Mus musculus: one gene and its partners. The protein of the gene in region 3 interacts with the protein of the main gene of each other region in a pairwise test. Links are inferred from orthologs where the notes say so. Each region holds a gene or a part of one and is shown on either strand. Other genes may lie near its edges. The genes, in order: Klc1, Ldlrap1 and Mapk8ip3.

Region 1 (3,644 bases), on a different chromosome or scaffold from region 3:
AGGCCTTGCTCAAGGTAGGCAAGTTTAGTAAACTCATTGCTCTTTACTGAGCTGCTGGGTAAGCCACACTCAGATCATCATACTCTTAACTGTAAAAAACTGGCTATCTTGTCTGGTCTGTAGTAAGTAAAAAGGAATTTTATGTTAAGAGGTTTGCAGGCGGCATGGGGGTTCTACAGAGTGAAGGATGCTCTGGGTCTCTTGTAGGAGGACAAAGACTCTGATTCTTCCAAAGAGCCGTTGGATGATCTCTTCCCAAATGACGAGGACGAACCAGGACAAGGAAGTGAGTAGCAAGGATGTGACCGTGCCGTTAAATGTGGAGTAGTGTGGGGCTGCTTCCTCTCTGAGGACAGTCCTGCCCTGGCATACTTAGCTTGTGAGAATTATATATATATAAGGTCTCACATGAGAATTATATATATATATATATATATATATATATATATATATATGAGGTCTCACATGGTAGCCCAGGGTGGCCTTTTTTTTAAAGATCAAAAATTTTTATTTTATGTGTATGAGTGTTTCATTTGCATGTATGTATATGTACTAGGTGGGTGTCTGGTGCCTACAGAGGTCAGAAGAGGGTGGCAGAGCCCCTAGAAATGGAATTACAGCTGGTTGTGAGCTGCCATGTGCGTGCTGGGAACTGAACCCCAGTCCTTTGCAGGAGCAGTAAGTGTGTGCTCTTAACCACTGAACTATCTTTCCAGCCCTAGACCTGAGACTCTCCGTTCTTTTGCCTCATCCTCTCTAATTTTGGGATTATAGGTGTGTGCCACCATAGCTGGGAGATTGCCTCTGTCTTTCCCAAACTTTACAGTAGTTAGTGCGTGGTGTGATGTTAGTTAGTATATAGGCGTGGGTCTTTGCAGGGTTAAAGAAGTCAGAGGACCTACCCTTTCTGCCTTCCCTTGGAGGAATCCTGTGGTGGTGTCAGTCCGCAGCACACTGTTCCCCACGGGCTGTTTCTCTTGGCTTGCTCGTGGGTCCCCAGGAGACTATGGGCTAGCATATGCACTGACTGGAACTAGGGTGCTGTCCATGTGTTAGCCACTCTGTCCTAACCACGGCCATGTACCTTCTCTGCAGTCCAGCAGCAGCACAGTAGTGCTGCGGCCGCCGCCCAGCAGGGCGGCTACGAGATCCCTGCAAGGCTGCGCACGCTCCACAACTTGGTGATCCAGTATGCTTCACAGGGGCGTTACGAGGTGGCGGTGCCACTCTGCAAGCAGGCCCTGGAGGATCTGGAGAAGACTTCCGGCCACGACCACCCCGATGTGGCTACCATGCTCAACATCTTGGCCCTGGTGTACAGGCTAGTCTTTGGGTTACTGCATTGAACTTTCTGAGAGGCAGAGTGTTTCATAAGCCTCTATGAAACAGCTTTCCAGCCTTCCTATCTGCTTCAAACAGCCAGCAGTTGATCTAGAATGTTCAGCCAGCTTGGTGGCAGGGCTCTCGCAGGACCAGCCAGGTGCTTGCTCTCTGTAGCTCCGGGCCAGCTCTGCCTGAGTAGCCATTTTGCCCTCTGCACTGACCAACTCAGTCACTTCGACTTCTTTAAAATCAGTTTTATTTTATGTATGTGAGTGTTTGGCCTGTGTGTTTCTGTGTAATTACAGGAAACACACTCACACACTTAATATAAAAAATTCCCCCCTTAGGATAATCTCCTGAAATGGGTTCTCTTTAAAGCTTTGTTGGTTCTCCCAGCTGCTCTGTAGAGGGGTGGTGCCCTTTGTGCTCCTGCCACGGTGCCCCTGCGTGGGCAGTGCAGGTTCTTTCTTCCTTCCTGTCAGGGAGTGAGTGAGGTGTTGCACTGTGCCTTTCCTTAAGTGGATATTTAAAGTCCTCTGCACTCTCCTTGGAATTTTACTGTAGGGATTTACAGTGCTCTAAAATTTTCACTTTTAATCTAAATTTCCTGGTGGGCTTCAGTCTCACTGTGCTGGGCCTGATCCTTGGTCCCCTGACTAAGCAGGTCTAGGGCAGGTCTGAGTCTCTACAGACTTCTGGCTTCAGCTGACTCCTGCTGGCAGACAATCTCTATGACCTACCCATAGACTCTGTCTGTCCACTTCTCTGGACTGCCTCGAAAGGCCAGCACTGCAGTCAAAATTGCATTTTAAAAAGGTTCAGGCTGACTTTTGTGGTGAAGTAAATTCTTTGTATGCCTGAACCCCAGGCGTTCAGTCCTCAGTATCAGTAATGGCTAACTAACTAACTAACTAACTAACTAGACTGGTGGGGTTCGTGACTGACCTCCAGCTGAACGAGGACTGTGTGTTTCGGTTTAGGGATCAGAACAAGTATAAAGATGCAGCTAACCTCCTGAACGACGCCCTGGCTATCCGCGAGAAAACCCTGGGCAGAGATCACCCCGCGGTGTGTATACATACCCCTCCTTCCAGGCCTTTACAGCTTATTTTCCCAATGCATTTTTGTCCAGCTCATTCCAATGACGAGCTCAACGGGGAGGGTCTGAGAGCCACCTTGTCCCAGATGGTACCGGTAGGGCCTGCTCAGGTAGTGACACTCACACCTTCGGGTCCCCTCTGATTTGTTAAGTCACCTCCTCAGATCACTGGCTCACTTCACTTTGATCCAAAATCAAGGCGCATGGCCTCTAGATTTGTTCTTGAGAATCTGTGCTGTCTTCTTATGTGTCTGCTCAGATGTGTACAGAGATCTGATTTGGTTGCCTTTGTGGCTTTGAGAAATTGAAGAATCAAGATCATGTTGATTGTTTAGTTTCAGTGGTGCATTTTGTAGTGAGTCCCTCTGATCTGCTGAGTGTCACCATGCATGTGGGAGGATCTGGGACTCCCCTCATGGCCACTCTTACACTGGCTCCTTGTGGCCTTCTGTCTTGGCAGGTGGCAGCGACTCTGAACAACCTAGCAGTACTGTACGGTAAGCGAGGGAAGTACAAGGAGGCGGAGCCGCTGTGTAAACGAGCCCTGGAGATCAGGGAGAAGGTGAGAGGCAGCTGCACTTCTTCACTGAATTTAGTTTTTCTCTGTCTCTCTGTCTGTCTGTCTGTCTGTCTGTCTGTCTGTCTCTGTCTCTCCCTCTCTCTCGGGGAATGACATCATTTTAAGGTTTGAGAACCGAGCACAGCGATATGTTATTTACTATCTGCTTACTGAGAGTAACTCCCAGAAAGGCAGGAAGGGGCTTCCTGTGTTCAGCCTTGCCCTTCCTGCTGTTGACCAGGGAAGTCCTGAGTAGCAGGGGAGTGCAGCAGTCTCTGCATTCACTGATGGTGTGCTCTTGTCATTAGAGATGCTTCAGTTTGACATTAAGTTACTCTCAGGTGCACTGGCACACGCCTTTGGTCCCAGCACTTGGGAGGAAAAGGCAGGTGGATCTCTGTGTGTTTCATGCCAGCCTGGTCTACAGAGTGAGTTTCAGGACAATCACGACTTCACATGGGGATCCTATCTCAAAACAAGAATAAGTTTACTGGAGCTAGAAAGATGTCTCAGCAGTTAAGAGCACTGGCTGCTGTTACAGAAGATGTAAGTTCAATTCCCAGCAGCCACATGGGGGCTCACAACTCTAACTCCAGCTCTAGGAGATCCAAAGTTTTCTTCTGGCTTCAGTGAGCGTCAGGTGTGCATGTGATGCACAGAAAC
Region 2 (4,184 bases), on a different chromosome or scaffold from region 3:
GAGCTGAGATGCGATCTTTTGGCCAGTGGGGGTGGTGGCACACTCCTTTGTTCTCAGATCTCTGGAGGCAGAGGCAGGGAGATCCCAGAGTTTGAGGCCAGCCTGGCCTACAGAGTGAGTTCCAGGGCAGCCAGGGCTACATTGGGAAACCCTGTCTCATAAGGGGAAGTGGCCATGAGAAAGAAGAGTCCTCTTCCTAGGTGAGTGGGAAGCCAGCAGGTCGGTGCTTGGCAGCTCCAGCCAGGGTTCTCTTTCTCAGCAGGGGCTGATTCTACCCAGAATCCCTCATCTTTGCTTTGTCCTCTGAGCTTTTGTTTTGTTTTGTTTTGTTTTGTTTTTAATACTCATTATGTCTATGGAGAAGAGTCCCCGTGCATGTGTGGAGGTCACAATTCCTGGGAATCGGTTTTCTCCTTCCTCCAAATGGAGCCCAGGACTAGAACTCAGGTCCTCCCGCCTGAGAACAAGTCCCTTTTCCCATCTAACAGGCTCTGGCCTTTGATCTTAAACGCTAGACCCAAGGGCTGGATAGGTCCCAACCTCTCATGCTGGCCACACCCAAGGCTTTCCTGTCTAACCTGGTCCTGGGGGCCAGCTAGCCAAACCTGGGGTGGAGCTGCCCCCCAACAGCCAGAAAACCCAAGGAATAAGGCTAAGATCCCTGGGCTGGGGAAGCTCTGCCTCAGGCCATGCTCTAGGCCTAGAGTTAGGACTTCATTTCCCGGTCCTATCTCTAAAATGGGTCTGAAGATAAGAATCCCAAGCTTTGTCACCTCCCAGGAGCCAATGAGCTCACAGAAGTCAAATACCAGAGACAGAAGCAGGGGCATGCATTCACTGAGACCACCTCTAGGCAAGTAAGACAAGCACAGACACTCCCACAAAAGTTCCAGACCAAGCAATACTCTTCCCGGCAAAGGAATATTGCGAACTTGACACTTAACCAAAGATAGGCCAGGTTTCTGAGGAGCTCATTGTGAGCACAGAGCTTTGGGAGGAGCAGGGAGAGAGGAGAGCGCTGCATCCCTCCAGGGTACAGACAGGCTGAGGCCCCCATCTCAGAACTGGCCAACCTGATAAGAATCAGGTTGAATCCAGAGGACATGGACATAACTATATGGCGGTGCACACCTTTAATCCCAGCACTGGGGGATCAGAGGCTCAAAGCACACCTGGTCTACACAGCAAGTCCTAGGCCAGCCTAGACAACAAGAGACCTCATCACCAACCTGTAAAATAGACTAGCAACATCTTAACTGACACCTATCCCTGACCAGCCTCATTTAAACTCACTATCTGACACCTCATGACTGTGAACTTCTGATTTGTAGGCTTCCAACTCCCTAGTTCTGGGAGTACAGACACGAACCGCTACACCTGATTTGTTTAGTGCCGATACTGGAACCAAGAACTTAAAGTACCACGGGCTTCCTGCAAGCTAAGGCAAGCATCCTACCAAACACAACACACACATCCCCAGCCCCGCAGGAATTTTATCCCTATTTTCCAGGATAGGAAACAGAATCACTAAGAACAAGTGATCGGCCTTAAGGCTGGAGCTGGAAGGGAAACTTCTCACCATCCAAAATGTACCCTGATGCCCTAGATTCATCCCCTGCTTCCTGGCTCCCTCCCCTTCAGACCTCTTCCCCACCCACCCTTCTCTCTCTTGTCCCAGTAGAAAAACCACAGGGTTCGTCCACTGGAAGAGAAGGTCACACTCAGAAGCCCTGGTCACATCCCACGAATTTTTGAAGGGCTATTTTGGTAGTTAAGTGTGGAAGTCAGTACATGCCCTGCCCAAGGGGCCTCTGACCCCACCCCCGCCAGTAGGCACCAGCACGCGTTCCCGATGCCAGTCAGGGCTAGGAGGAGCCCACAACTGGAACACCACAGTGGGAATGAGGAGGGGCAGGGCGGGCTCCCGAGGCCCAGACACGCTGGCGCTCCAGGGACTAGGAAACTCGGGCTCCCCTGGTGGAGCCCGGCAAGGGAAGGTGCTGACGAGAAGCTGGGGGCGGGGAGGGGGTACTGTTAGTGGGAGAGGTGGGGGGCCCCAGGTAGGTGGCAGGTGAGGGTGTGCCGCGAGCCCGGGTACTTTGGCTTCACATCAGAAAGGGAAGGCCTGGGTGATCATCCCACGCGAATGAAAAGGGAGGAGGGACCTAAGCTAGGTTTCTCAGGCCTCGGGGGAGGGTGCCAGGTGACGGCTCTCCGAAAGTAACCCGAGAGGTGGCTGGGGGAGGCTCCTCTCCACCCTTCCAGACTCCCGGGAGAAATGGCAGCGAGTCTGAGTCTGCCTTTTGCCTAGGTGCCCAGGGACTCGGACCAGCCCCCAAGGAAAAGTACGGAGGAAAACAGGGTTTGTAAATAGCCTGGGCTCCAGCCTCGCCACCTGGACGCGTCCAGAGGGGAGGAAGCGGGACCCTGAATGGCACCCGGGCTGGGATCGCCCCTCGAGGCAGGGACCTGCGAAACTCCAGCGTCCAGAGGGGACCCTGTAGGTTGTGCTGGAGTGGGTAGAGAGGCTCTAGACGTCCCCTTCGCGCCACACCTGGGGACCCCGAGTTAAGCCTGATCCCTGTCGACCTGCCCCAGACGTGCAGCCGGACATGACCCCCGGCCCCGCCGCGCGGGGCGGGACGAAGCCACCCAGTCCACCTTGGCCCGGAGCTCGGCGGAGGCCCGACCCGGGGCGCATACACTCACTGCGGTGCCGGCCGCCCGCCCAGCTCTGCTTGGCCAGACTGGGGCTCCGGATTAGCGCGCGCCCCGCCGACTTGAGCGCGTCCATGGCCCGCTCCGGTTGTCGCCGCCGCCACTGACGCCGCTACCGCCGCCAAAACTCCTCCAGGAAAACTTTCCGCCGGGCCAGGCGGCGCGCGCCCGCTGCGCTCCTCCCCCGCCCTCCCCGCGACGTCTAGGGGCGGGGCCGGAGGGGCTACGCCCACCGCCACGCCCCTAGAGCGCAACCCCGCCCTTCCCGGACCTGGACCGGCTCCGAGGCTGCACGCGCGGTGTTCCTAAACTCAGAACCCACCAAGGCTCCCAGCCCAGCGCCTTTCCCCGTTCTCTAGCTACGGGATCCCATGGCCTTCTAGATAGCTCAGCTAAAAGGCACCTGGATACCGTTTCACCGATGGGAAGAGTGAAAGGTAGAACGATAAGGGTCTTGTTCAAAAATAAGAGAAAGAAAAAAACGATAGATGGGAAGGAGAGGGTCGAGTGGATAAAGGCACTTGCCGCCAAGCTTGACAATGATCCCGGAGACAACACGGTAGAAGAAGAGAATCAACTCCTGCAAATTGTCCTCTGACCTCCTGGCGCTAACAGTGGCACCTCCCCCATTGCTTACATACACAAAATAAATGTAAATAATTAAATAAATATGAGTGAGGGGCGCACCAAAGCAATGGGAGTCTTTGAACGAGGGAATGAAGGCCGCGAATTTTGCTGGGAAGGATCGGGAGTGTATTGGTAGATGCCCTTAGCAGCTTTCTTAGCTGTCCTCTGCCCCCACAGTCTCAGGGACATTGCAACCTTAGACGCAGACTCAGGCATGCTGTGTGACCCAGGCTGTCCTTCCCTGCTCTGAGTCATGATATCTGTCAAATGAAGCGTGATCCTATCTGTAGTGCACCCACCGGCCTGTCTGGGCAGGCCCTCGGTGTGTAGCCTTGCTCTAGCCTGTTTCCAAGGCAGCACCTGCTCCAGCCCCAGGAAGCTGGTAATTTAACTCTAGAGCCAGGAGCGATGGCTCAGACCGGTAATCATAGCGCTCATGGAGCTGAAGCAGGAGGATTCCTGCAAGTTCCAAGGCATCCTGGGGTATAGAGTGAAACTTTGTCTCAGAAAACCCAAATAACAAAGAATTCTAACTATTAAAAAAAAACCAAGAAAACAAAACAAAAAACCAAAAAACCCGCTAACCCTTGGTTCAGACTGTGCCCAAAGGAGTCTGGCGTTCACTACCTGGCTTCCAGAAGCTGGGCTTCAGCAGCGCAGCTGTGACCTCTGGCTAGTTTCAGAAGCCAGCAGATCTCTTCTGGCTGGGAGACACACATGCTGTGTGCTCTAGCTGCCCAAGGAGGCCTGGCTCACATTCCACTCTTTCTAAACCTCCTGTCTGTTCCAAGTGCTCCGCCTGAGTGGACAGTACAGCCAGCCATAGCCTCCTTTACAGC
Region 3 (3,644 bases):
TGTGCCTGGCTGGTTGGCATCAATGATCACCACCTTGCTGGTTGTCAGGGTGCTGGTGAGGATCCATACCCGACTGGAGGTAGCATCTGCCTCAGGGGTTTCCTTTGCCTGTTTCAGAGCATATCAGGGGGAAATCAAAGCCAGTGCCTGAACTTGGTATTGACATGAATCAGGGAGTCTCAGAACTTCCTAAGATCTAGCTTTGAATATGGCATCAATGGATAGTTATCCTCCCCTATAGCCCGCAGATCCATATCATGATAGTTCATTTCTAAGAGGAAACCACAAACTTGGAGAGGCAACTCTCATGGCCTGTAAATCAAGCTGTGACCGTGCTCTGGGATTCATTGCAAATCACTGGGCCTCTCCTATGAGCAGTCCTCCTGCTCCCTAATTTACTACATGATAAAAGGTATGCCTGGTTCTCCCAAGCCCTCTGTTACCAAGGGCAGTAGACAGTCCCATCGCTCCACAGGCCAGGAGGAAACCTGGACTATAGAGAGGCAGCAGTGGTATCTTAGATGCTGCAGCACCTGCTCCTGTCTCAGACTGATAGGGGAAAAGAGATGCACTGTCACCAGGGTGTGGTCACTTAACTGCAGAACCTGCAGGAAACTATCTAGAGACTTTATGTAGGATAAAACCACATTCTTGATCAACATACTGACCTTCTTCTTCTCAGGTGATGGGTGTGTGCTCTTGGGTTCGCCTTCTCCTTCCCGGTCACAGGTCAGAGGGTCTCGACCTGGTACAGGCTTGGGTCCATTGCTAGAGTCCTCTTCATGTGGCTTCCACCCACTCAGGTTGACACCAGCAGCACACCACAGCTGCGGGGACAAGGCTGTGAGGTCTCAGTGCATCAGCTTCTCTGGGGCCTCCCAGGGGCTACAGTAAAGACTACCCTTTGTCCAGGGTTTCCTTGGAGGCCTCTGATCAGGGTCCTTGGTGCTCACCTTTGTCGAAGGGTCCTTCTCCACCAGAGGGCGGCAGTACACAGGGACAGGCACATTTTTCATCCGGGTGTCTTCCTGGCCTCCATTGGGGCTCAGCTGCAACAGAGTGGGAAGTTCTGTGGTATGAGGCCAAGGAAGACACTTTAGCCTTCAGAAATCTCAATTAGTTGCCTGCGGGCTTCTGGTACACAGTGCACTGGGTCTGGCTCTGCTGGCCCTCTGTGCTGGTTAGTTTTTGCCAACCTGACATAAGCTAGAACCCCCTGGGAAGAGGGAATGTCAACTGAGGAACTGCCTCCATCAGACTGGTCCATAGGCATGTGTGTGGGAGGTGATCTTGGGATGTGTAAGAAAGCAAGTTGCATATGCAATGAAAAACAAGCCAGTAAATACTATTCCTCAGTGATTTCTGCTTCAGTTTCCCTTGATGGTGGAAGTTAAGTCAAATAATCCCATTCTTCACCCAGGCTGGTCTGCTCAGGGTTTTATCAGAGCAACAGAAAGCAAACTAGAAAACCCTCAGAGTCACAGATCCACCAACACCAGCTAGGAAATGGGTGCCTCCTGGCTCTGCACTACCACTGTGTCCTTCTCACATCCTCTCCATACCCAGAAACCACCCCCTGTCTCAAGTACCTGCTTGTACTTGGCAGGCAGGCTCCACCCACAGGCCTGCAGCCTCCCGTCATCATTGCGCACGTGTTCACGAACCTGGCGGTACTGCTCCCGCTTCTGCTCCCGCCGGGCAGAAGAGGTGCAGTCACTGGGTGAAAAAATGACAGGTTACATCTGTTCAAGGTGAGCTGTCGGGGTGAGGCTGGAGCACCCAGACTCTCACTGGTCTTCCTCAGAGCCTGCCTGATTCTACCCTTGCCTTTTCTGGGACAGGGGTAGTATTTGACAGAAGGTGGCTTTTCCCAATTATGTCTGGGGTGTGATCCTGTGCTTAAGAGGTCATTTCCAGCTGTTCTGGGGCCTGCTCTGTTGCTGGTCAGCAACTGTGTAACCTAGGTGAGTTTACCAGTAGTTTCTCACAAAAGTGGCCCCAAGAAGCTTAACTAAGTGTTTGGGGCAGTGCTCAGACGTTAAGGTCAGACACAGGAGGGAAGAGTATGATGGGACCCAGCACAGTCTTCAAAGTCTAAGAGAATGGTTTCTTGGAACTGCAGTCCCTGCTAAAAGTCATTCAGACAGAACCTGAGGACTAGTTTTTGCTGGGGGTAGTGGACATAGAGAGAAGGTGTCATCTTTCCTGCTCTTGATAACTTCTGTCCCACAGTACAGAATATTAAAAGTCTGCTCTCCAACTTCAAGCATAGAGTGGATAGACTCAGGACACTTGGGGGCTAGGGATACCTACTCATCAGGGAAGAACTCCAGGGGCCTGCTGCCGGCTGAGATCTGGCACAAAGCATGGCTGCGACGCTGGCTAAAGCCAGCTGCAGTGGGTGACTTGTAGTGAATGTTCACAGATGGGTAGGATCGTTTGGCCGGAGGGGGGCTAGATGAGGAGCTGAAGAGGCGACTAAAGCTGCCATGGAAACACAGATAAGTGAGCCAAGTGTGGAACAGTAGCAGGCTGACGAAAGCCTCTTCTTCCATAGAGCACCATACTCACAACTGCCAGATGGTGGACTTCTTCTTCTCCTGGACAGATGGGTGTTCCCTTGATGCTCTGCAGGGAAGAGTAAAGGAGGAGCTGTGCCGGGTGACCCTGGAGCCCCCAAACCATGCCAACACTCGGGGGAAAGGAAGTGTGGTGGAGGGCAGTCAAATCCCAAGGCCTGCTAAAATTCTACAACCCCAGCTCAGGAAAAATAGATCCAATCAGAGCCATGAACTTGCTCAGAACTGTCAGAGGAAATGCTGAGGGGCACACCTGATCATTTCAGTCCACCTCACAGCCTCCTGCAGCTCCATGAGGCGTTCCTTGTACTGGTTGCGTTCCATGAGCACTCGGGCCATCTCCACCCGTGTGAAGCGTCGGCGCTGGGCCATGGGGATTTTGTCCTGCAGAGGGGGGAAATGTGGTTCCTCCAATGAGAAACAGGAGGACAGTCAAGCATACGTGGCTTCCTTCTGAGGTGTCTACCCCCTAGATGGAGATATAGTTGGGACAAGTGATGGTGGAATGGCAGGTTAGAGTGCCAGGGGAGCCCACATGGGGTTTGCCACTCTTCTCTCCAAAGCCTGAACAGAACGAGCTTAAGGGAGTTGGGAGAAAGTGCACAGGAACAGGTCCTGCCTGCACACGGCCTCACTGGCCTCACCTACCTGCAATCTGCTTCTGCCAATGTACAGTAAAAGAAGGTGGAGGCCTGAACGAGCCACTCTTTCACACTCAAGTAGCCACAATCCACATTCCCACCTCTGCTAGACTATCCTACACTATGGAATCTCTACACTACGTCCCAGAGACTGAACAGATTGCTGCTCTGTCACAAAGGACCCAGTATGTTCTAAAGTTATTCTGGTACAGAGGGACAAACTGTGCTGCCCAGACCTCATTTTGGGAAGTGAGAGGAAGTGCAGGCTCAGGGTTTGGCTGCACTGCCCAGGCTGCAGGTGCATACCAGTAACATCTTTGGTAACAAAATACCCCTGCTGGGACTGCAGAAGGCATCAGTAAGAAGGGGAACAAATGTGACCCTTCCTCAGTTTGGGAGGTCAGGGGTGGGGGGAGGAAGGATC

What was found.
Region 1: the proteins of Mapk8ip3 (region 3) and Klc1 interact in binary tests that used the Homo sapiens proteins (3 or more experiments, as listed by UniProt). The link is inferred for Mus musculus from reciprocal best matches to the Homo sapiens genes MAPK8IP3 and KLC1.
Region 2: the proteins of Mapk8ip3 (region 3) and Ldlrap1 interact in binary tests that used the Homo sapiens proteins (3 or more experiments, as listed by UniProt). The two-hybrid records come from large-scale screens. The link is inferred for Mus musculus from reciprocal best matches to the Homo sapiens genes MAPK8IP3 and LDLRAP1.

Annotation. Positions count from the first base shown.
Region 1 is NC_000078.6:111,775,717-111,779,360, forward strand, and holds part of Klc1 (kinesin light chain 1), read left to right. Parts: intron 1-207; coding exon 208-286; intron 287-1,095; coding exon 1,096-1,321; intron 1,322-2,303; coding exon 2,304-2,391; coding exon of another isoform or gene 2,392-2,532; intron 2,533-2,882; coding exon 2,883-2,984; intron 2,985-3,644. UniProt on the Homo sapiens protein: Kinesin is a microtubule-associated force-producing protein that may play a role in organelle transport. The light chain may function in coupling of cargo to the heavy chain or in the modulation of its ATPase activity.
Region 2 is NC_000070.6:134,765,107-134,769,290, forward strand, and holds the start of Ldlrap1 (low density lipoprotein receptor adapter protein 1), read right to left. Parts: upstream 2,899-4,184; 5' UTR 2,795-2,898; coding exon 2,710-2,794; exon of another isoform or gene 2,704-2,709; intron 1-2,703. UniProt on the Homo sapiens protein: Adapter protein (clathrin-associated sorting protein (CLASP)) required for efficient endocytosis of the LDL receptor (LDLR) in polarized cells such as hepatocytes and lymphocytes, but not in non-polarized cells (fibroblasts).
Region 3 is NC_000083.6:24,902,336-24,905,979, forward strand, and holds part of Mapk8ip3 (C-Jun-amino-terminal kinase-interacting protein 3), read right to left. Parts: intron 2,964-3,644; coding exon 2,833-2,963; intron 2,629-2,832; coding exon 2,572-2,628; intron 2,485-2,571; coding exon 2,314-2,484; intron 1,717-2,313; coding exon 1,590-1,716; intron 1,050-1,589; coding exon 954-1,049; intron 828-953; coding exon 669-827; intron 109-668; coding exon 1-108.